Rhinolophus ferrumequinum: one gene and its partners. The protein of the gene in region 3 interacts with the protein of the main gene of each other region in a pairwise test. Links are inferred from orthologs where the notes say so. Each region holds a gene or a part of one and is shown on either strand. Other genes may lie near its edges.

Region 1 (6,993 bases), on a different chromosome or scaffold from region 3:
CTACCTTCTCCCAAGCCTGACATTCACCCAGGAGAGTATAATAGAGAAAAATAGGACAATAACTACAATCCAACTGGATGCATTTCCAGCAAATACACGTGAGCTATATCATGGCAACAGGCAAGAAAAAAAAATTCAGTAAAAATGAGCTTCCTCTGATAGGATATTTATCCAATAGGTCTACAGTTTGAGGGATAATTAGTTGAAGTAAAATCACGAAACAGTTTTATTTTTCCAATAACTGCCTTACTAGTGCTAGTTCTATCATTCCCCCACTTTCTAGTGGGTAACGGGCTTATTTACATCTCAGTCTTGTTCCCCAACTTTTCAGTCACTTTTGCTTATTAAAATAAAGCAAAATTGGGCTGTTAAAGATTTGGTTCTTTGTATTTTAAAATGCCAGTCTCAATTTTGATTCAGAGTCCTCCTCATCCTTCTAGGATATCTATCTACTTATCTATATCTATAGATGATAGAGATAGAAAGATAGAAAAGATAGATAGATAGATAGATAGATAGATAGATAGATAGATAGATAGATAGATAGATAGATAAAGGTCTTGGTTCACACAATTATGGAGGCTGGAAAGTCCCACAGTGTGCTGTCTGCAAGCTGGAGAGCCAGGAAAACTGGTGTGTAGTTCAAAGGCCTGAGAACCGGAGAGCTGATGTGTAGACACCAGTCTGTATTAGAATTCCTGGAAATCAGGAATGCCAAGGACAGAAGAAGATCAACATCCCAGCTCAAGTGGTCAGGCAGAGAGCAAATTCAATCTTCCTCTGCTGTTCTGTTCAGGCCCTCAATGGATTGGATGATGCCCCCACACACACATTGGGGAGGGCCACCTGCTTTACTCAGTTCACCAATTCAAATGCTAAGCTCTTCCAGAAACACACTCACAGATGAACCCAGAAATAATGTTTAGCCAGATACATGTATATGGGCATCTCATGGCCTAGTTGACACATAAAATGAACCATCACCCCCTCCTTCCCTGTGTTTACTCAGATGGTTTGAGAATTTGGAGGAAGTGGATAAAAAGACACTCTTTATCTGACTACTTAGGGTAAGATTGCTATCTCCATGTGATTAATCATCACTGTAGCTCAAGTTTGATTTCTATAAAGCCTGCTGATAAAGACTCACACCCAAGCAGCTTCCTTAGGTTTTGCTGGCAGCCTAGAAGGTTGAGCCATATCTTGCATGTGACTCCTAGCTGATGACCCTCACACAACATTCCTGTGAGTCATAGATCTCTTTGCCATATTCTGTAAGTTTCTGGTAAGCCTGTATCTCAACAACTATCTTCTCCCCAGCAACAACTCCAGAGCCTGTAGACATGGTAGGATTTATTTTTCACACCTATCCAGAATTAGGCACTTTGGTAGGGGGTCAACCCCAGTCCTTTCTCCACTTGGCCACACCATCACGTCATCTCTGCAAAATGTTCTTTCCAGGCTCCTATAGCACCTAGGTAGCTCAAAATCCCAGTAGTAATGCAGATATCCCGCAGAGGAATGAGAAGTGAACCTTGCTATCTTGTAGATATCCCTAAACTTTATCTACAATTCTTTTATGATCCTACTCCCTTAGCTTTGAGGAAGGGAACCAATCAAATGCCACCATCTACCATAGTTACAGGAGATAAGGAGAGGGGATAGGTTCTTTTTTACAAATATTGTATTTCCCCAAATGTGAGCCCAGTTTCCTTCTTCCCAGTACTACACTACCCTTCTATTATTTCGGGGTAAGAGTCATCAAACCAGTTCACCCTCTTCCTGTCCTTCAGGGCACATGAGTCCCAAACTAAAACTCTTGTGTCCTTCTAACTTAGCCCTGGACTTCTTTAAAATTTTGTTCTTAACATGTTGTTATCTAGCTCCAACTCCTCAGAAAACTCCAGGGGATAAGAAGAGATCTCAATCAATACCTCATAACATTTTAGTAAAGATAACATTTCCAGGACAATTTTCACCTACCTTTAAAACAGCACTTTCATTATAACCAACCTTCTATATAGCATAACACCTGATCTGGAAAAATATACAAATGTATGCTTTCATCCAAGAATATTTGGTGGTTTCAAACAAAAGACTTGTCCCATATGGGTCAAAAAGACAACAACAACAACAAAAAGACAACAGCAAAACATTTAGCCACTAAAAGAAATAAAAATCCCCTTGCTAAACTTCATATTTAATGGTTATGTCACAGTAGTTTCTCTACCTTAAGGAAATTCTTTCTAGGTGATTCCTAATTTTCATAAAAACTTTACTGTATTACTTTACATACAGCCCCCTGAATGAAAAGTCATTCAGTTGTGGATTCATTCAGTCAACAAATATTCACTAATCACCTGCTTGGTATAAGGAACTCATAGTCACTGGATATGCAAAATAGAACAAAGAAGATGTGTTTTGGGACTTCATGGATTTTAAAGACAAGTTGATCTAGCTAAGGAAAGAATTCCGCTCTGCCTACTCTTCAAATTTTGTTAGAAACCATCTAACATAATGGTAAAAAAAGAAATGAGTTAACTTTTATTGAAAATGTATTAGGTTCTGTGGTAAGTACTTGATATATGTGATTTACTTCTAACAATCCCTGTTTCACAAAGGAAACAGAGATCTTGATAAGTAATTGACCCAAAGTCACACATCAAGTTAGTAGTAGAGACAGGATTTACACCCAGACGTATCTGATTCCAATAGCTTATGTTTCTAATCAGCATCCTTTCAGCCAATATCACTAATACAGCTATCTATATGAAAAGTTGTTAACTGTGAGAAAGAACCCAGGAATCACTAGCATTCTTTTAAAAGAGAATTATTGGGTGCAATTTTGTAATTTGAGCTTTTGGAGCTATATATTAATATATCAATTGTGAACATCAAGAAGGAATATATCTGCTAAGAAGGACTCTTTATGATTAATAGGGCCCAAATTCATAATAAGTGTCTAGCAGCCATTGTTTATAGCGGCCTCTCACACTACGTATCAGGGAAAGCTGCAGACCAAGCTGCCAAGCCTCCTGTACTATGTTCCTCCTGGCAGAGCTGACCCTTATAAAGGAGTTCCCGGAATCATATTTTGATCACTTGCTAAACTTCATGGGCTGAGACCTACCTCATCCAATCGAAGCTGTGCATCTATATCCTCTTTTGCATTTTTACCAACCAATCAGAGCAGCTCCATAATGGCCAATCAGGATGCACAATTTTGACCAATCAGGACAGTGCTATTTGGACCAAACTGTGCAAATTTGGATTCCTTATTTGCACAAAAATGGGACAGTCAGGGACCAGGTCAGGCACTTTTTATATATAAGTGGGCCTCCCCTTTGTCTTGGGGGAGCACAATTTCGGTTTCCACCTGAGGCTGTATTTGCCCGTTTTTACAAACTGTTCACCTGAATAAAGTCTTTCCTTTTACCACAGGCCAAATTGGGGATACCTGTTGGCACTGGATTGGTGACAGTGACCTTTTGGTTGACACCGTATCGCTCTAAAAGCACGTATATAAGACTATACAGAGGGTGCCAAAAAATGTATACACATTTTAAGAAAGGAAAACTGTATTAAAATTGTAATGATATATACCTATAACAAAAGATAGATACAAGTCACATTTGACTTCTGCCGTTATAGGAGGTGCTCAAAGTGGTTACTATCAGTGTCCAGACACTTCTGATTATGGCAAACTACTGCTTGAGCAATGTTGACCAAAGTGTCCACTTGTATACATATTTTTGGCACCCCCGGTATATGCACTAGGCATATATTCTTCCTTTATTCAATGCCTCAGCAAGTTTAGCAGGATAGGGGATTACATAGGCGTTTAGCAGGATAGGGGGTTACATAGGCGTTTGGAGCCAAACCTAGAGGCAGTAAGCATTTGTCTGGCCTGTCTTGCCTCAGAGCACACAACTCTTGGTTCCTTTATCACAACCAACATCTAAGGCAGATGGCTTTGGAACTGACTTCTGCATATTATATACTTAACATCTGAGATCATTCTACGGAGGTATTTGTAGGGATGGTTTGGAGGTTTGGAAAGAAAAGCAGGAAATAAAAAGGCTCCTTTCCTCCAAAGACTGTGGTATCAAAAACATCACCTAAATTTATATAAAATGGCCAAGATCTGACAACTGGACTTCTCCCTAAAGATTTACTTTACAGATCATTTTGAAAACACCCAACTGCATTCAGGAAGATGCCTCCCTTTTCTCAAAATGAAATTTTGAAACAAGGCTGTGTTTTAAAAGTGGTTTGATGTGTGGAGCCAGCGAAAATATTTTCTGTGTGGTACACGTGAACATAATCAGTGAGGCTGCTTCATTCTGCAGGATGAAGCATTTCTTTCCAAAATGAAACTAAGTAATTTTTAATTTTTTGAGGCTAGCTGATTAAAAAAAGAAATTAAGAGAAATTATTGGGAAGGATATATACAACCCGCTCTACCTCCTTGACGCTCTTTCTGACAAGTCCCCAGCTCCCTCCTCACCCTAGCCCTCGTTCTAAATTTCCTAGTAGGGAAAGAATTCAGAGGACAAGATGAGCAATAGTGGCTGTGCTTAGTGCGGGGTATGTGGGGGTGGGGGAGATAGGAAGGTGGCCCGCGAGAAGAGGACACAAAGCAAAACCAAGGCCTGGGGCGCGAAGGGGAGGGGTGGAGGGTGTTGCAGACCCTCCTAGGTAAACAGAGAAGGGCAAACTCCAGCCCCAGGGAGGTGATGCCACTTGTGGGCCCTCAGATTGGAGCGGACTGAGATGAGTGACAGGGAGGTGGGCGCTGAGGCCTCGCGCACAAACAGGCGGAGAGAGTTGTTCTGTGCCTGTGCACGAGGCGAGGAAGGGGGGCCGCGCTCCTGCTACACTGGCTGAGGGAGTTGGGGGGCGAGCTGGTTGGTGACGCGGGGCCCTCACGTGACCGGGAGCTGCAGAGCGACGCAGCCTTCGGTGCAGTCGTCACTCCTGTCTGGGTACCAGCTCCCCGCTGCCCTGCACACGGCGGGCTGGCATCGGGCCCGGGGAAAGCAGAGCAGGTAAGGGCCTGAGGCCGCGCGGAGGCCAGTGCGGCAGCTGCCAGCCAACCCCGGAGGCCGGCGCTGGAGATCAGCGCAGCGGTCCCCGCGGGCTTTCTCCACACCCGGAATTCTTGGGAACATAGTGACCCCCCTCCAGGGGGTGGGGATGCTGAGGCGACAGGGTCCCAGGGAGGGCAGCAGAGCAACTCAGCGATGGAAAATCATCCCCGAGCTTCTGCCGAAAAATGATGAACCCAGTGTGGGGAGTGGCGGCGGGAGACGCGGGGCGGGAGCGGCCGGGGGCATCGGCAGGGGTCGGGGCCGGGAAGGGGCCTGGCGGCGGCGGGTGGACACCCAGCGCTCTACTGCAGCAGCCCCGGGTCCCTACTCCCACTCTCTGCAGGTCTGCGGGTCCAAGTGTTGGGGCTGCGCACTCCGGACGAGAATCGGGAGAAGGCGGAGACAGCAAGGATAGGCCCAGGTGGGTGCGGGGGACTTTGGGGGAAGGGCGGGTGCAGAGCCCAGTCTGAGACATGCCCCTCCCCCCCGAGTTCCCCATGCCCGGTTCCCCGTCTCCCGTCCTCCATTTTGGTGTCTGCTGAGCTCTGGGAAAGAATCTTGGGAAGGGAAAAAATGGTGGGCTTTGGGGGAGGGAGGGAAAAGGAGAGAGCTGGAGGGTGGGGCTCGAGTTGGAGGTCCCCTAGAGGGCGCACAAAGCTCCTAAGGTGAGAAAAAAAAACGAAATTTAAAAAACTTTTGATATCAGGGTTCTGAGTCCTACTGGTCAGTGTACCTAGCATTTAATCTCTCCTTGCCCTTGTCTTACTTGTGTTCAAAGAAAAACAACCAGAAAAAAATCATGGCAAATATCCACCAGGAAATCGAAGAAATGGAGCAGCACATGCAGAATGGAGAGGAAGACCGCCCTTTGGGAGGGGGCGAAGGCCACCAGCCAGCAGGAAATAATAGACGGGGACAGGCTCGCCGACTTGCCCCTAACTTCAGATGGGCCATACCCAATAGGCAGGTCAATGATGGGATGGGTGGAGATGGAGATGATATGGAAATGTTCATGGAAGAGATGAGAGAAATCAGGAGAAAACTTAGGGAGCTGCAGTTGAGGAATTGTCTGCGTATCCTTATGGAGGAGCTCTCTAATCACCATGACCATCATGATGAATTTTGCCTTATGCCTTGACTCTTGCCATTTTCCATGAGATTAATATTCCCACTGTTTTCTTTTTCCTTGCATTTCCTGATATGCCTTTACTGATCCGTTTGCTGTGAACCTTATGTAATTTCCATGTGTCAGGTGGGTTCTGTATTACCAGCTTCTAATTGGAGATTGCCTTGGCACCCAGTCTTAAATTTCTGTCAACAGCAGTTTCACCCATTTGCATGGAAAAAATGTAAAGTTAATAAAGCAATTAAAAAGCAATCTGTACATTTATTGTGTCATTAAAAAACATGTTGAACCCTCTGAAAACTCTGAAATCAAATCCCCCGTGCTGTTGATTGGAACACATTTCTCTGTGGTTGGGTAATCTTGTAACTTTTTTCCCTTTTATTTGGAGTTGTGGAAGCAATAAAAAACAATTTTTCAATGAGTCTATGAATGTAGTACAGGTACATAACAATTACTGATTCTACAAACTTAAAGAAGAGAACTTTTAGTATCTTCCAGCCTCACCTGGAAGAATAAACCCTCCTTTAGTACGGATATAGTCCTTTAAAGAGATGGTCTTCTTTGCTGTAAAATGGAGAATAATACTTGCCTTAAATGGCTGCTGAGTGGAATAGATGAGGTGTGGAACTCTGTTGAGCTGCCTCCAGTGCAATTCCCCAGCATTTAACAGGACCCTGGTCCTCATCAGGTACGTGAGAAGGACTAAAGGGAGTTTTCACACATGCTCACAAGTCCAGAGGGCAAAAATAGGTGGGTTCCATCCACCTTGTCATTCCTCAT
Region 2 (5,916 bases), on a different chromosome or scaffold from region 3:
GAAGGTGACCATAGTGCTATTCAGCAATGAGGTATTGTGGGGACAGAGCCAGTAGTGCAGTTTCCAGGCTCTCCGCCACACGTGGAAAGGTGCTGGCTCGGGTAGTAAATGGCCATCAACTGTGATTGGATGGCCATCAGCTGTGGCTAGTTGGCCGTCAGCTGTAACCAGTGAGCCATTGGCCACTAATATAACTGCCATGGCTACGCTAGCAGAAAATGGGGGCTAGCAAGAAGATGGTGGCTGGCAAGCACGTAGTGTGGCAGAGTGTGGATTGCGGATCATGTGGCTCCTGCCTCCTGTGTCTCCAACCCAGCAGCCAGCAAGAACTATAGTGTTATGACTCCCCTATCTATGGCTCCGTGGGTGTTCCTTTTTGGCCTCACCATGTCCTGCATTCTTATGTGGGGAGCGGGACCAGAGACCCCGCAAGCCACCTCGCATGACAGGTATGTAGCACTTTTTGTAGGATAAGTTTGTGAACTTAATTGTCTGATTTTGTATAACAATGACAGTTCTAGGAATTTAATACTCTCATGTTATGTATATAAAAAATACAGCTATGTACAATTAATTTCATTCAACACTCTCATACTTAAAACTATAAACATTCCAAATGTCCATAAATATGGAAATAGATATGTGTATTATCTTTATTTTAAAGGAAAATATTTGGACTGACTTAGAGTAAAATCTGAATAGTATATTTCTTCAGGTAAGGATAAAGCTGATATTTTTCTTCTACTTTATCTGTTTTTTTCTAATTTTACTGCAGGCTCTTTCTGATACCTTGGGAACTTGCTCAGCCCAGACTTAGGACAACTCAGAAGTGCCAGAGATTTTAACATTCCCAGGATGACATCCACCAATAAATGACCCGCACCTGTGGATAAATACTACACATTCCTATCACTAATTGGGATAATTCTACATGGGTCCTTAGACTTAGAGGGTCCCCAGCAGAATTGGGCCAGTTGCCTTTTGGGCATGTCTGTCTCTGGTGCTATATTTTTAACAAAATTTTTCATCCTAATAGTATATAAAAAATAACTGTGGGGACAGAGTCCCAGAGAGCAGTTTCCAGGCCTCACGTGGAAAGGTGCTGGCTCGGGTAGTAGATGGCCGTCAGCTGTGTCTAGTTGGCCATCAGCTGTAACCAGTTAGCCATTACCCACTGATATAACTGCCATGGCTGAGCTAGCAAATGCAGATTGCAGTTAGCAAGTGAGGTTCGTTGGCAGAGAAGTGGATGGCAGGCTGCAGATCACATGGCTCCTGCTCCCTGTATCTCCAACCCAGCCGCCAGCGAGAATATAGTGGTATTAAACCCCCCATCCGTGGCTCCATTGGTGTTCCTTTTTGGCCTTGTCATACCCTGCATTCTTATGCGGGGAGCGGGACCAGAGACCCTGCACGACACCCGGCATGACAATAACATTTATTATATACTCTTTTCAATGTTTTTATGTCTTTTTATCTGAACATTTAGTGTCCGTATGTAAGTGTACAATAAAAATAGGCACTTCATTATTTTTTCCAAATAGATAATCAATTATCCCAGCACCATTTCTTCAGCAATATAAACTCTCCCCACTGATTCAAAATATTTCAATCAGATTACTAATATTTCTCTCTATTTGGGTTTGACAATTGGCTTTTTCATCTGTTTCATTTTTTTCTATATTTATTACGCATATTTTTTAATATTGTAGCTTCACAATATTTTTTTATCTGTCAGCATAACTTTCTCAAATCATTGTTGTGGGGACAGAGCCCCAAAAAGCAGTTTCTAGGCTCTCAGCCTCACATAGAAAGGTGCTGGCTCAGGTAGTAAATGGCCATCGACTGCGATCAAATGGCCATCAGCTGTGGCTAGTTGGCCGTCAGCTGTAACCAGCGAGCCACTGGGCACTAATATAACTGCTGTGGCTACGCTAGCAGAAATTGGGGGCTAGCAAGAAGATGGTGGCTGAGCCTGCAAGCGGCGCAGTGAGGGTTGAGAATTGTGTGGCTCCTGTTTCCTGTGTCTCCAACCCAGCCGCCAGCGAGAGTATAGTGGTATGAGTCCCCTACCTTTGGCTCCGTGGGTGTTCCTTTTTGGCCTCACCATGTGCTGCGTTCTTGTATGGGGAGCGGGAGCAGAGACCTTGCAGGCCGCCCCTCATGACAATTGTTCTGAATTGTTGGAAGACCTCAGCATTGCTCTATTTTAGAGGCTATGCTAGAGTCTAGTTGTCAAGTTGCACTAATAAAATTTAGAGGAAACCCTAAGTTTGTCACAGGCTCTCAAGATCTGAAAACCCACTACCAAGTCTCTACTAGACTCCTGCCTCACTTCACAGAAAGACCACATACAGACCCTTCATAAAGGGGAACCATCAGCTTAGGTTTATATTTCAAAGCCCTTAAAAGGGGGAACTGGTGCTGTCTAGAGGATCTATGTTTATAGGATGAGTCAGCAGCAAAAACAGGTTGCCAAGGTTTTACAACTCGAATCCTATTTTTTAACTGAAAATAATTGTATTGTCTAATTATAACAAGCAAAACATGAATGCACGTCGATAGGAAACAAACAACAATCACCCCTTCAAAAAAATAAATAAACAAAAAGGGAAATAATTAAGGTGAACTTTTTTGTAAAGTCACTTCCTACCTATTTTTCCAGACTTCCTAGCCTCACCTCCCTTCCCTGCTCCGGTTTCAGTCTGGGACAAAACCAAAAAGTCTGTGAGGAGAAATTCAGGACTTTACTTCCTGTTGAATGGAGGGGAGAGAAGTGGGCGTTTAATGGTATAGAAGAGAAAGAAGCAATTCTTTAAAAGCTCTAACAGAAATTAGGGGAAAGGGTAAACACAAATTACAAAAGTTATTGCCCGTTTAGTCTCGAAAATTACTAAATGGCGAGGGCGGGGGGGGGGGGGAATAATAAGGGGTGGGCCGTAGCCTGCGGTAGGGATGGGGAGATAGCGAGAATGAGGAGTAAGGTGGTCCCGCCCACGCTCCCGCCCCCAGCACCTAGCCGCACTGCAGATATGATCGGTAATTGTGATCTGAGCTCACAGTGACACAGTCCTTATGAGACCTAGAACTAACGCGGATTAGTCTTTCCTTCCAGTTGCGGTCTAAGAGTCTTTTGTGGCTGTGCGCTGGCTCACTATTGCCTTGAAAGCAGGCAAGCCGGTAGCCCTGAGGAGGAGGAAGTACAAGCTGACTCCGATCCGTGGCAGGTTCGTGGACACTAACCGAGGTGACAGAGGGCAAAACCAGGGCGGGTCCAGGAATGGATTCTTTCTACCCCTTCCCCAGATACCTACCCGTTTGGTGCAAGAAATGGAGGGCTTGATGGGAGGAGATCGAGAGGGGCCAAGAGTTGAGAATGGGAACCATTTCGGAGCTACTAGGAGGTGGGCGATTGGGCGATGTCTGGAAGGGAAGAACCAGAGAAGGACGGGGAGGAATCAGGAGGGGGACGCAACCGGTGACTCTTGGGGCTGACGAGCTTCGCAACTGGTTGGGGCGGAATTCCGCAACCGGTCTAGGCGTTCATTCCCAGTATCTCTTCACCCTCCGTCCTTTTTGGAGCCAGAAATTGTGGGCTGTGGGAATGAGGCGGGGAGTGGGAGTGGTGGTTGCTGCAGAGGATAGGGAAAGGGATTAGGCTTGGAAAACAGGTCCCTTTTGCGGAGGAGGCTATTGAGTGAACGGGCTTCTAACTGAGGAATATAGGCAGAGAGCTAGAAACTGTTTCTGGACCCTGCAGGTCGTGTATGCCTGGGTGCTGCTTGCAGACCGTGGGGTAGGCATGACAAATCGCTGTTAACCGCAGCGGGTCCGTGATTGCAATGCCCATATTACCTGTTCACCCTTCGTCCATCTTGATACATAAAATGATGGGCAATGGAAGAAAGGTGGGCTCGAAAAAGGCCACTGGGTCCCAAAAGGTCCTAGGGGATACCCAGATTGACATGCTTTATAAATAAACCACATCGCTACCCAGTAAGCTCTTCTGACAACCCCGCCCCAAAAGTTGTCCGTTTGTGTTCAAGAAATGGTAATTAGGTGACAGGAGGGACGGAAGAGTGGGGTAAGGGACCTAAAGAAGAGGTGAGATTGGTTTGGAAATAATAATATTTGATTACAATGCCTATTTCTGGACGGCGGGGTAGTGCATTACAGGGTAAGAAAAGAAGCCGTGAAACCAGATGGAGGAGAAAGAGATGGTGGCAATATTTGACTAGCAGAGTCCTAAATAAACAATGAAGCTGGTGCTTCCCACCCCATATTGTCCTTTAATCAAGGGATCAGTCCTGGCCATTGTCATATTTCTGTCTGCAGGTGTTGAGATCCGTTGGTGCAGCAGATTTCAAGGCTAAGAGAGGAACAGTGCTTCTGATCTCTGTAGGTAGGAGGGTGCCTGGGGTCCTGTGGTGTAGAGGGTATCAGGGATCAGAACAGGATCTGGGGGACTCAGCCCTCCCTGCTCTACTTAAGTGCATGAGAAACCTGGCCAAGTCTTTAGAAATTAGGCCTGTGTCTGGTGAGCAAAGAAGGGAGTAGAAGGGCAAGGTCTGGGGTGCCCCTGGAGGGCTTCTCAGGATCCCTGGTCTCTCAACCACTGTCCCTCCCACCACTTGTCGTAGGTTTTGTGTGAGTTGTGGTCTAGGGAAGGATTTTCAGGAAAAATGGTGGGCTTTGTGGCAGAGCTGGGTCTGGGGCGCCCCCTAGGGGGTGCATGAAGTCTCTCAGATGGGAAAACCTTCACCCACAGAGCTCTGAATCCTGTTGTTGCATGTATTGAATCCCTTTTCTTGCTTTTTATCTCCTAGGAAGAAGCAGAAAAAAATATGGAAAATAACCCCCAGGAAGTCAAAGGAAGGGAGCAGGCTCCAGTGCAGAATGAAAATGCCTGCCCTTTGGGAGGTGGTGAAGGCCAGGAGCCTGGAGGAAATATTAGAGGGGATTGGGCTCCACCTGCCCAGGATTTTAGAGAGGATATGCCCAACAGGCTTGTCAATAACATTGACATGATAGATGGAGATGCAGATGATATGGAACGGTTCATGGAGGAGATGAGAGAGCTAAGGAGGAAAATTAGAGAACTTCAGTTGAGATACAGTCTGCGCATTCTTATAGGCGATCCCCCGCACCATGACCATCATGATGAGTTTTGCCTTATGCCTTGAATGCTAAGGTTAATAATCATAAATCTCCTGCCTCCCACAATTACATTTTCTTGATGTACTTATTGCTGTGATCCTTTGGTGTTCTGTCATTTTTCTCATTGGAGATTTCATTTTGACTTAGTCTGTAACTTTTTCTGTCAGCAGGGAAGTTTCATCAACTTGCATGGGAAAATGTTTAATAAATATCGTAAATAAAACAGTTTAAAAAGCAGTCTATAGATACACTATCTCATTTACAAGCATGCATATTATATATTAATATGTCAGAATGTGTTTTTTCTTATTTATTTTTCTTTTTTCTATTTTTTTCCTCAAAATGAATACACGTGGATTATATGTATCAGAAAAAAAGTAAGAAGCAAAGAATTTGCCAATCAGCTTATAAAGAGAATGGAGACAATTAAGTACTTGCAACACAATTTAAACACATAAATCTTATATTACCTCTGGATCATTATGAGTATCTCACGGTTTTCTTTTTCACTTATATCCTGGCTATTCTTGTATTTTTTAAAAAACACAAGTATTCTAACAACTTCTTTAATTCCATAAAAATGTTTGCTGATATCTTTGAGATTGTATTAAATTCATACATTGACTGAGGGAGAATTGAAATGTTTTTAATGTTGAGTTGTACCAAACACAATGAATGTTTTTCCTCTTATTGAAGTTTCCTTCTGTGTCCTTCATGAATATTTTAAAATATTTTAATATATGTTCTTATTCAGTTTAT
Region 3 (7,252 bases):
GCTATTCCTGAACAGCACCTCTCTGCAACACCACGGGACAAACAAGGTTCCGTGGCAAGCCTGCGGGGGCTCTGGCTGGATGCGGGGAGAGTTGGCCAGAAGTTCCTGTTTCTATAATTACATCATGGTTATCTCTCTGGCAGGCAAACACAGCACATCCGCAGCGCCCAGCACACACATGGGAAAGCAACAGGAACTGCTGCATTCTGGGACCTGCCGTCTCCAGAGGCCACCGAGAGGCCTGGGACCTGTAGTCGGTTGCAGTGCATGCTAGGACTTGTAGTCTCAACTGTCTACCCCTTTGGACCAAGCTTCTCGAAGGAATTCCCCCTTCCTCCCGCAGCTGTTCCCAACTAGGAAGTATGTTGGCCACATGTGGGCGTGCGTGAGCACATTCACTTTCTCTGCCTTTTTCTCTTGGTCTCTTAATCTGTTACACACACACACACACACACACACACACACGCACGCAGGCACGCACGCGTGCGCGCATGTATGCACGGACAGGGAATCTCAGGGATCTCATTAACTCCCTTCTGCCCCTGTTTTTCTGACTTGGAGCATGGGGTTTTCCCTCAACATCCTGACCACATTTTCCACCCAATCCCATCTCCCACTTCTCTCCCCAGGGCTCCCATACTCACCTTCCCCCCCTAGTCCACTCAGGTGGCTGCCCGCACTGGAACCTGAGAGGTTGGGGCGGCCGGGCCGGGGCCGGGGGCGTGGTGTGGTCGGTGCAGGACCCAGCGCTGGGGCAGGACTCTCGGCACAGGCATCACCCCCGTACCCCTGACAGCACCTCCACTCCATATCCGTCACTGTTTTGTAGGCCACGCGGTAGCGAGGGCGGAGGAAGCTGCGGTACCTGGGAGAGGTAGAGGGAGGGCTCTTTACTCTTCCCTGTACGGTCAGTGACCCTGGCCCCTGTCCTCAGAGATGGGCAGCTGCTGGTGGGCAAGACCTGTCCCTCAGGCTGGGCCACCCTTACTGTCCAGCATGCGGCCTGGCTCCATTGACAGCTGTCAGCTTGCTGGCCAAGGGCCAAATCCCTATTCTTTCTCCCCTTGTGCTGTGCTGGAACCTTGAACTCCTCTCCTTGAGCATGACCCAGCAAGGAGATGGCATTCGGGGGCTGGCAGGGTAGTCTTGGTAAGTGTGTCCTCAATATCCCACCAAAATGTTGCCTCGGCATCTTCTCAAAATGGCTCCGACTGAAACCCCTGGTCCTGCCCCTTGCCACAATTACCTGCTTTGTACAAATTCCCTGAGTTGGCTGGTCGCCTTCCGTCCTAGCCCAGCCCCCTCCAACTACCCATTCCCCAGCGCCGGGGCTCACATCATGCTGCGGTGACACTGGGGCTGGCCCCAGCCACAGGCCGGGATCTCGCGCTTGATGAAGGTCTCCACTCCATCCTCAAGGACACAGCTCACTGTCCGAGTCACCACGTAGGCACACCAGTTCCTGCAGGCACAACCTCACCTGGGCCCGAGGGCCAGAGACACACGCCCCAGAGCAGGGCACTGAGGCTACCAGAAGGGCTGAGGGAGGGTCAAAAGATGAAGGGCCCCTGGGGACCAGTGGGAGCCAGGGCATTGGCCGGGGCAGCTCCCCCCACGCCTTCCTGTACGGGACGGAGTCAATAAAGACTTTTCAAGACAGGAGAAGAGGCACAGAATGGAAAACCACAACTACAAAAAGTTGATACATGGCTGGGGAGGGGGTCCTGGAGAGGCTCTGAATTCACACATTCATTCGTTTCGCTGTCTGAATCCCCAGCTTGGCGTGGCCTGTATGAGCCGGCTGGCGGGGGCCCTCTGGTGATTCTTTGGATGCTGGCTTCCACCCGCCCCGCAGGGGAGAGGACTGGGCAGGCAGGGGTCCAGCTCAAGGTTAAGCAGAGAATAAGCCATTGATGAGCCCTGTCCCCCATGGGGTTTGCAGTTCTGCACTCTTGGCCCCATTCATGCTGGCCTCTGATCTGTGTCCGGCTGGAGACCCGAAGGGAGCAGAGCAGGAGTGGTGTTAAAATCATGGATTACTAGATGGGCCGAGGAAGCCCTACACAGAAATAAAAGGTCTGCCCGAGGATCCCAGGCTGGCACACAGCTGGCCGGAAGGCCTGGCCCACGTCCCTCAGGGTAGTTTCCCTGGGCACCTAACGGCACGTCCCATGGGGAGGACGTGAGAGCCGATCCTATGAGGTTTGATGGGACCCATCTATGCAGGGGGGCCCTGGAAACACCCGGCAGGAAGGTGGGCGTGTGAGGAGCCATCTGATGGATGGGTTTCCTCTCCCGTTCTTCCCTGCATTGGCGATACAGCCCAGGAGAGGGTAGCCAAAGTGGGGCAGGGCCAGGATACCCACCTTCTGACCCACCCTCCCACCTACCTCCAGCGTAGGGCTGGGACCCAGATTCTTACCTGTGGCGGCTGGCAGGCCGGGGGGCACTCTGGGCCTGGGGCCCACCAGGGCTGAGGGCCCCGCCATTCCCCATGTAGAGGCTGTAACCACGAGGAGGGTAGCTAGCTGCCGCCACAGCTGTGGTCAGCAGGCAGCAGAGATAGCAGCTCCAGAGGTTCCTGGGGGCCATGGTGGGGGTGCTCCGCTGTGGCCCTCAGAGGCACATCCCGCCTGACCACTGGCGCCTCTGCTTGGAGTGGGGATGCCCGCTGCTCCAAGTTGGGTCCTGTCCCCAGCTTCCTGCTGGCAGCCCCCAGCCACTCGCCTCCTCCTTGGCCTCCTGGCCTGACCTCTCTCCCCCTCCTCTTTCCTCCTCAGGCTCCCGTCTGTTCTTCCCTTCGTTCCTTCCGCTCTCCTCTTCTCCACCTCTGAGGGGAGTTTGTTCTCAGTGCCCCCGGCCTCCTGTGCCTGGTCCCTGCCCCTCTCAGATGCTGCTTCCTGGGCCTCCGCCCCCTTGCCCCAGCTGGCCCTCCTCTGGTCCCCTATCTGTTTTCCCCAATGACCGGATCCTGGGGGTGACAGGACTTTACCCCTGTGGCTGTCCAGAGGCGCTAGAGTGGCTGTGTGGGGCGGGCCCTGGCCTCCCGCCTCTCTCTCTTGCTTACTCCCCTCCCTTCCCCCCTGTCTGGCTGGCGGTCCAGCCTCCCCCTTCCTCCCCCCACCTCTCCAACCATCGTGCGCCACATCTGCTTCTTGTTAACTCCGGGAAAAAGAGGGGAAAAAAAAAAGGAAAAACAGAGAAATGTGGAGTTGCCGCCGGGCTTAGGGCCAGCCTCTCAGACGGGCCACATGGAGCAGAGCCGGGGCCAGGGCTGGGGAGGAGGCCCAGGGCTGGCTGCTTAGACGGGGAACCGGGGAACAGGAGCTGGAGCCACAGCTCTCCTGGGGCTAGGGCAGGCCTCCCCTGGGATAGACCTGAGAGAGGGGCCTGGAGGGGACAGGAGGAGGGAGGACTGTAATAGGAGAACAGGCTTGGAGGGCTCCGCAGGACATCACTCACAACCAGTCCAGCTCTCTCCTTTTTATAGATATGAAAATTGAGGCCCAGAGAAGGAGAGTAACTTGTTCAAGGTAACACAGCAGATCAACAGCAGGGCTGAGACTAGAATCTAAATACCTAGGTCATGACTTGAGAGAAAGAAGGCGGATAGGAGAGAGGGCTACTGGGTCAAGTAGAAGGAAAAGGACTCCACTGAGGCAGGCAGGAAATTCAGAGACGCCAGAAAAGGAAGAAAGGAATCTGGAGAAGGGGGAGCAGAGGAGGGAGCCTTTTAAAAGGCCAAATGAATATGGGTCCCAGGCTTGTCTTAGTGAGTGTCAGGCCTTAAGTTGGGGAGGGGAGGGAGGTATCTATATAGAAAATAGGGCCCTATCTATATAGAAAAGGAAGTCACTCCCTAGCCTGAAGGCAAGTCTGATAACCTCCGTAGCAGGCAAGGAACTCAGTCAAACTCAACCATCGGCCTGACCCGACAGCTCTTCCTGAGATGTCTGAATCTGTCAGCTGCCCCTCTTCACCACCTGGCCCTCAGCGTTGTGTTCTGGACCAGGTCTCCCTGTGTGGTGAGATGCTTGCTTGTGAGAATGAAGTGGAAGTACTAGATGAGAGCGCTGTGTGCCAAGCACTATGGAGGCACCCAGGTAGCACAGGCAACTGTAAGACTCAGTGAGGAGCAGCTGGGGCTGTTGGGGAATGGGACACAAGGTCCAGAACAGAAAACAAACACAAAGCAGGATAGACAGAGTGCCAAGGGGGCCAGACATTTGTGGAGTGTTCATCCAGACATTTGTGGATGAGGTGTGTTCTGGGTAAGAGAAGGACAAAGACAGCTGGCTGCTGGGGGAGAGAGAGAAAAGCTGTTGAAAAAGGTACAACTTGAATGGCGTTGGGGGTAAAAATTGAAGAATAGAGACAGTGAGGGGAGAGGGGTGTAAAAAAAAAAGAGAGAGACAGTTGAGGGGAGAAATTTCAGGTTGGGGAATGTGGTCTGCTTCAGTTTCCTTTTCTGTAACGTGGGACTAATGATAGAACTGAAGACTTAAAACAACTTTGGTATCATAACTGGTGGCCCCAAATTTGGATTTTTGCAGCTTGAGCTCTGAAGCTGCCCTTTTGGGCTCTGAAACTGCCTGCAGAGCGAGCAGTCCCCCAGTGCTGATTGTGCTGTTAAATAAATTGTACTCCTTGTGTCGCTGTTAAATAATACTCCCAGTACTATTAGGTTGGTGCAAAAGTAATTGCGGTTTTTGCAATTAACCTTTTAAACCGCAATTACTTTTGCACCAACCTAATATAATTATGTGAGCAAAGACAGTCTTTTTGCTCTACAGGCCTGGACTGAAACTAAGACGTGATGAATGCTTAATCATACATTACCCACTGTTCTCACTTCACAACTCCACTTGCTCAATCACTGAGTCAGTCAACTACAGAAAGTTCAGTTTGCCCCCCCACCAATCAGAAAACAAATGAGGTAAGTTTATGATCTTGTTTCCCCTAGCAACCCATCTCTTTGATCACATTAGTTCCTTGCAACTTTTGCCTTTATAACCCTGCCCTGTCCCCTTCATTTTGGAGCATATTTTCTTTTCATACCAAGGACTACATTTCCTAGTTTGCAAACCATTACCTGAATGAACTCTTCACATTTCTTTAAAAAGGTATGTCCAGATTTTTGTTTACAGTACCCTCCTTCCTAGGTTTTTGAGGATTCAGTTAATACATGTAAAGCATTTAGAATAGTGCTTGGTATGTGGTAAATGCTCAATACACGTCAGCTCTTATTTGTGTCAAGAAGAAGTGGCACAAAAAGAGACGTTGAATGTGGAAAAATTAGGGAGAGGCTCAGATGACTGGTTAAGTGCTTGGGTTACAAGCTTTTGAGTAGAGGGTTAATACACACACAGAAAGAAGACACTGTTGGCAAGAGCAATGGGCACGGTGTTAGGGCACGAGGATGCTAGCAGTTCCAGCACCTCCTCTAAACGTAGTGGTATCACTTTGAGCAAATCCCATGACTCCACTGGGGGTCTGTTGCCTGTTGTCTAAGGGCCCTTCCAAATTCTATATTGCAAAGATGCAGAGCTGGAAGAGAAGGCTGGGACTGCCTGGGTAATGAGGGACCTGATTGAAAGAGATACCAGAGAGGATTCCAGGGTTCTAACGCAGATGGGTAAGTGGAGGAGAGGAGCAGGTTTGGAGGAAAGAAAGATGACCTTAGTTTGGATATACAGGCATATCTTGTTTTATTGTGCTTCACAGATGTTGCCTTTTTTTACAAATTAAAAATTATATACATTTTTACAAATTTACTTTCTCCACTAGCAAAAAGATCACGACTCGCTTTATTGCAATACTCACTTTATTGTGCAGCCTGGAACTGAACCTGCAGTATCTCTGAGGTACACCTGTACTGAGTTTAAGATAATAACACATCTCAACGGAAATAAATGTCCAGGAGGTGGTTAGAAATGTGGGTCTTGATTCTGGGAACCATTTGTAGAGCAATGATTGGAAAACATGATAACAGACGCCACCAAATCTTCAATGTCACCCCGAGGTTCTATGGCACAGAACATGATCCTGATGGCTGAAAGCCACGTTGGTGAAAAGACAGGATGGTGAAAGGAAGCACTGGAACCAAGAGATGGAAATTTGTGGCTGCCCCTCAGAGGTGTAGAGATCAGCACACAGGCAGATTTGAAGGAAATGGTCCTAGGAGACCCTGATTTCAAAGTGGCTGTCCCCGGAAGGGTGCGGCTTTGTCCCCACTCAGCATGAGTTCTAGGCCCTGGCCCTGGCAGGAAGCCAATCCACTTCCCCCCTCTTAGTTGCCCTGGCTACTGGTATAGGTTTACTTTCTCTGCTCTTCCCCCTTTTCTCTCCCTTCATGGGGCCTCTGGCAACCTAAAAATTCTTCCCAGCCATCTTGTCACTGCCCAGTGTCACCCATTCCTTCGCCTGTCCCCTTAAGTGTAAAAATTGGTTGTGTTTTAAGTGTGTCGAGTCAAAATGTTGTCTTTGAAATACAATTGCAGTAGGTTGCATTTCATTTAGTCTTGTAATTAGGAGCCAAGACCTAGAGGCTGACATGTCTGTGAGATCTGATAAATCAGTGGCTCTGGGTTCACCGGGGAGAACAATTCCAGGGTTCACTGGGGAGGCCTGAGGTGTTGGGCAAGCAGGCTGCAATGGAGACTAGGTTTAGAGAGAATACAGTGGTGGCTGCAGTGGTGGTACTGGCAGATAGCCACACATTTCCAAAGCAACTGGCAAGAGAATTCCTGAGATCAAAATAGGCTAAGTCCTGGGGCACTAAGACAATATCTATTTTATAACCTCTCCAAGATGGGGGCTTTCCAAGGTAGTATCAATGGGAAATCTTGGCTATACTAGGCAAACTAACTCGTTCAGTCAACCATCACTGGCTGAGCAACGAGCTCATATCCCAGGGCCAGAACACCCAGGGCACTAGTAGTAAGGACATTTTATGTCAATACTATCAGAGGACTGAATATTGGGAGGGAAAAATGTGAATTGGGCCTTCGGATCATACAAACCCAGATGCGAATTCGAGCTTGTGGGGACTCTCGAGCAAAAGTCCACCCGTCCTCAAATGTATACATTTCCTTTCCCTTTCAACCCTTCTGATAGGTACAATACTTTAGGTGTCAACCTCCCTGGACTCAGGGTCCAGTCCCCTTTTTCTAGGTTTTGTTGCTTTTTCACTCCTGAGTCTAACACTAACCTCCTATTTTTTCCTTGAAAATATCACACTAATCACCGGGAT

Evidence for each region. The genes of interacting proteins can lie anywhere in the genome.
Region 1: the proteins of EMILIN1 (region 3) and BEX3 interact in binary tests that used the Homo sapiens proteins (3 or more experiments, as listed by UniProt). The two-hybrid records come from large-scale screens. The link is inferred for Rhinolophus ferrumequinum from reciprocal best matches to the Homo sapiens genes EMILIN1 and BEX3.
Region 2: the proteins of EMILIN1 (region 3) and BEX5 interact in binary tests that used the Homo sapiens proteins (3 or more experiments, as listed by UniProt). The two-hybrid records come from large-scale screens. The link is inferred for Rhinolophus ferrumequinum from reciprocal best matches to the Homo sapiens genes EMILIN1 and BEX5.

Annotation. Positions count from the first base shown.
Region 1 is NC_046284.1:51,631,257-51,638,249, reverse strand, and holds BEX3 (protein BEX3), read left to right. Parts: upstream 1-4,770; 5' UTR 4,771-5,045; intron 5,046-5,430; 5' UTR 5,431-5,508; intron 5,509-5,865; 5' UTR 5,866-5,886; coding exon 5,887-6,225; 3' UTR 6,226-6,465; downstream 6,466-6,993. UniProt on the Homo sapiens protein: May be a signaling adapter molecule involved in NGFR/p75NTR-mediated apoptosis induced by NGF. Plays a role in zinc-triggered neuronal death.
Region 2 is NC_046284.1:52,322,583-52,328,498, forward strand, and holds BEX5 (protein BEX5), read left to right. Parts: upstream 1-4,815; 5' UTR 4,816-4,844; coding exon 4,845-5,183; 3' UTR 5,184-5,388; downstream 5,389-5,916.
Region 3 is NC_046296.1:53,566,705-53,573,956, forward strand, and holds the start of EMILIN1 (EMILIN-1), read right to left. Parts: upstream 3,014-7,252; 5' UTR 2,593-3,013; coding exon 2,423-2,592; intron 1,463-2,422; coding exon 1,337-1,462; intron 866-1,336; coding exon 645-865; intron 1-644. UniProt on the Homo sapiens protein: Involved in elastic and collagen fibers formation. It is required for EFEMP2 deposition into the extracellular matrix, and collagen network assembly and cross-linking via protein-lysine 6-oxidase/LOX activity.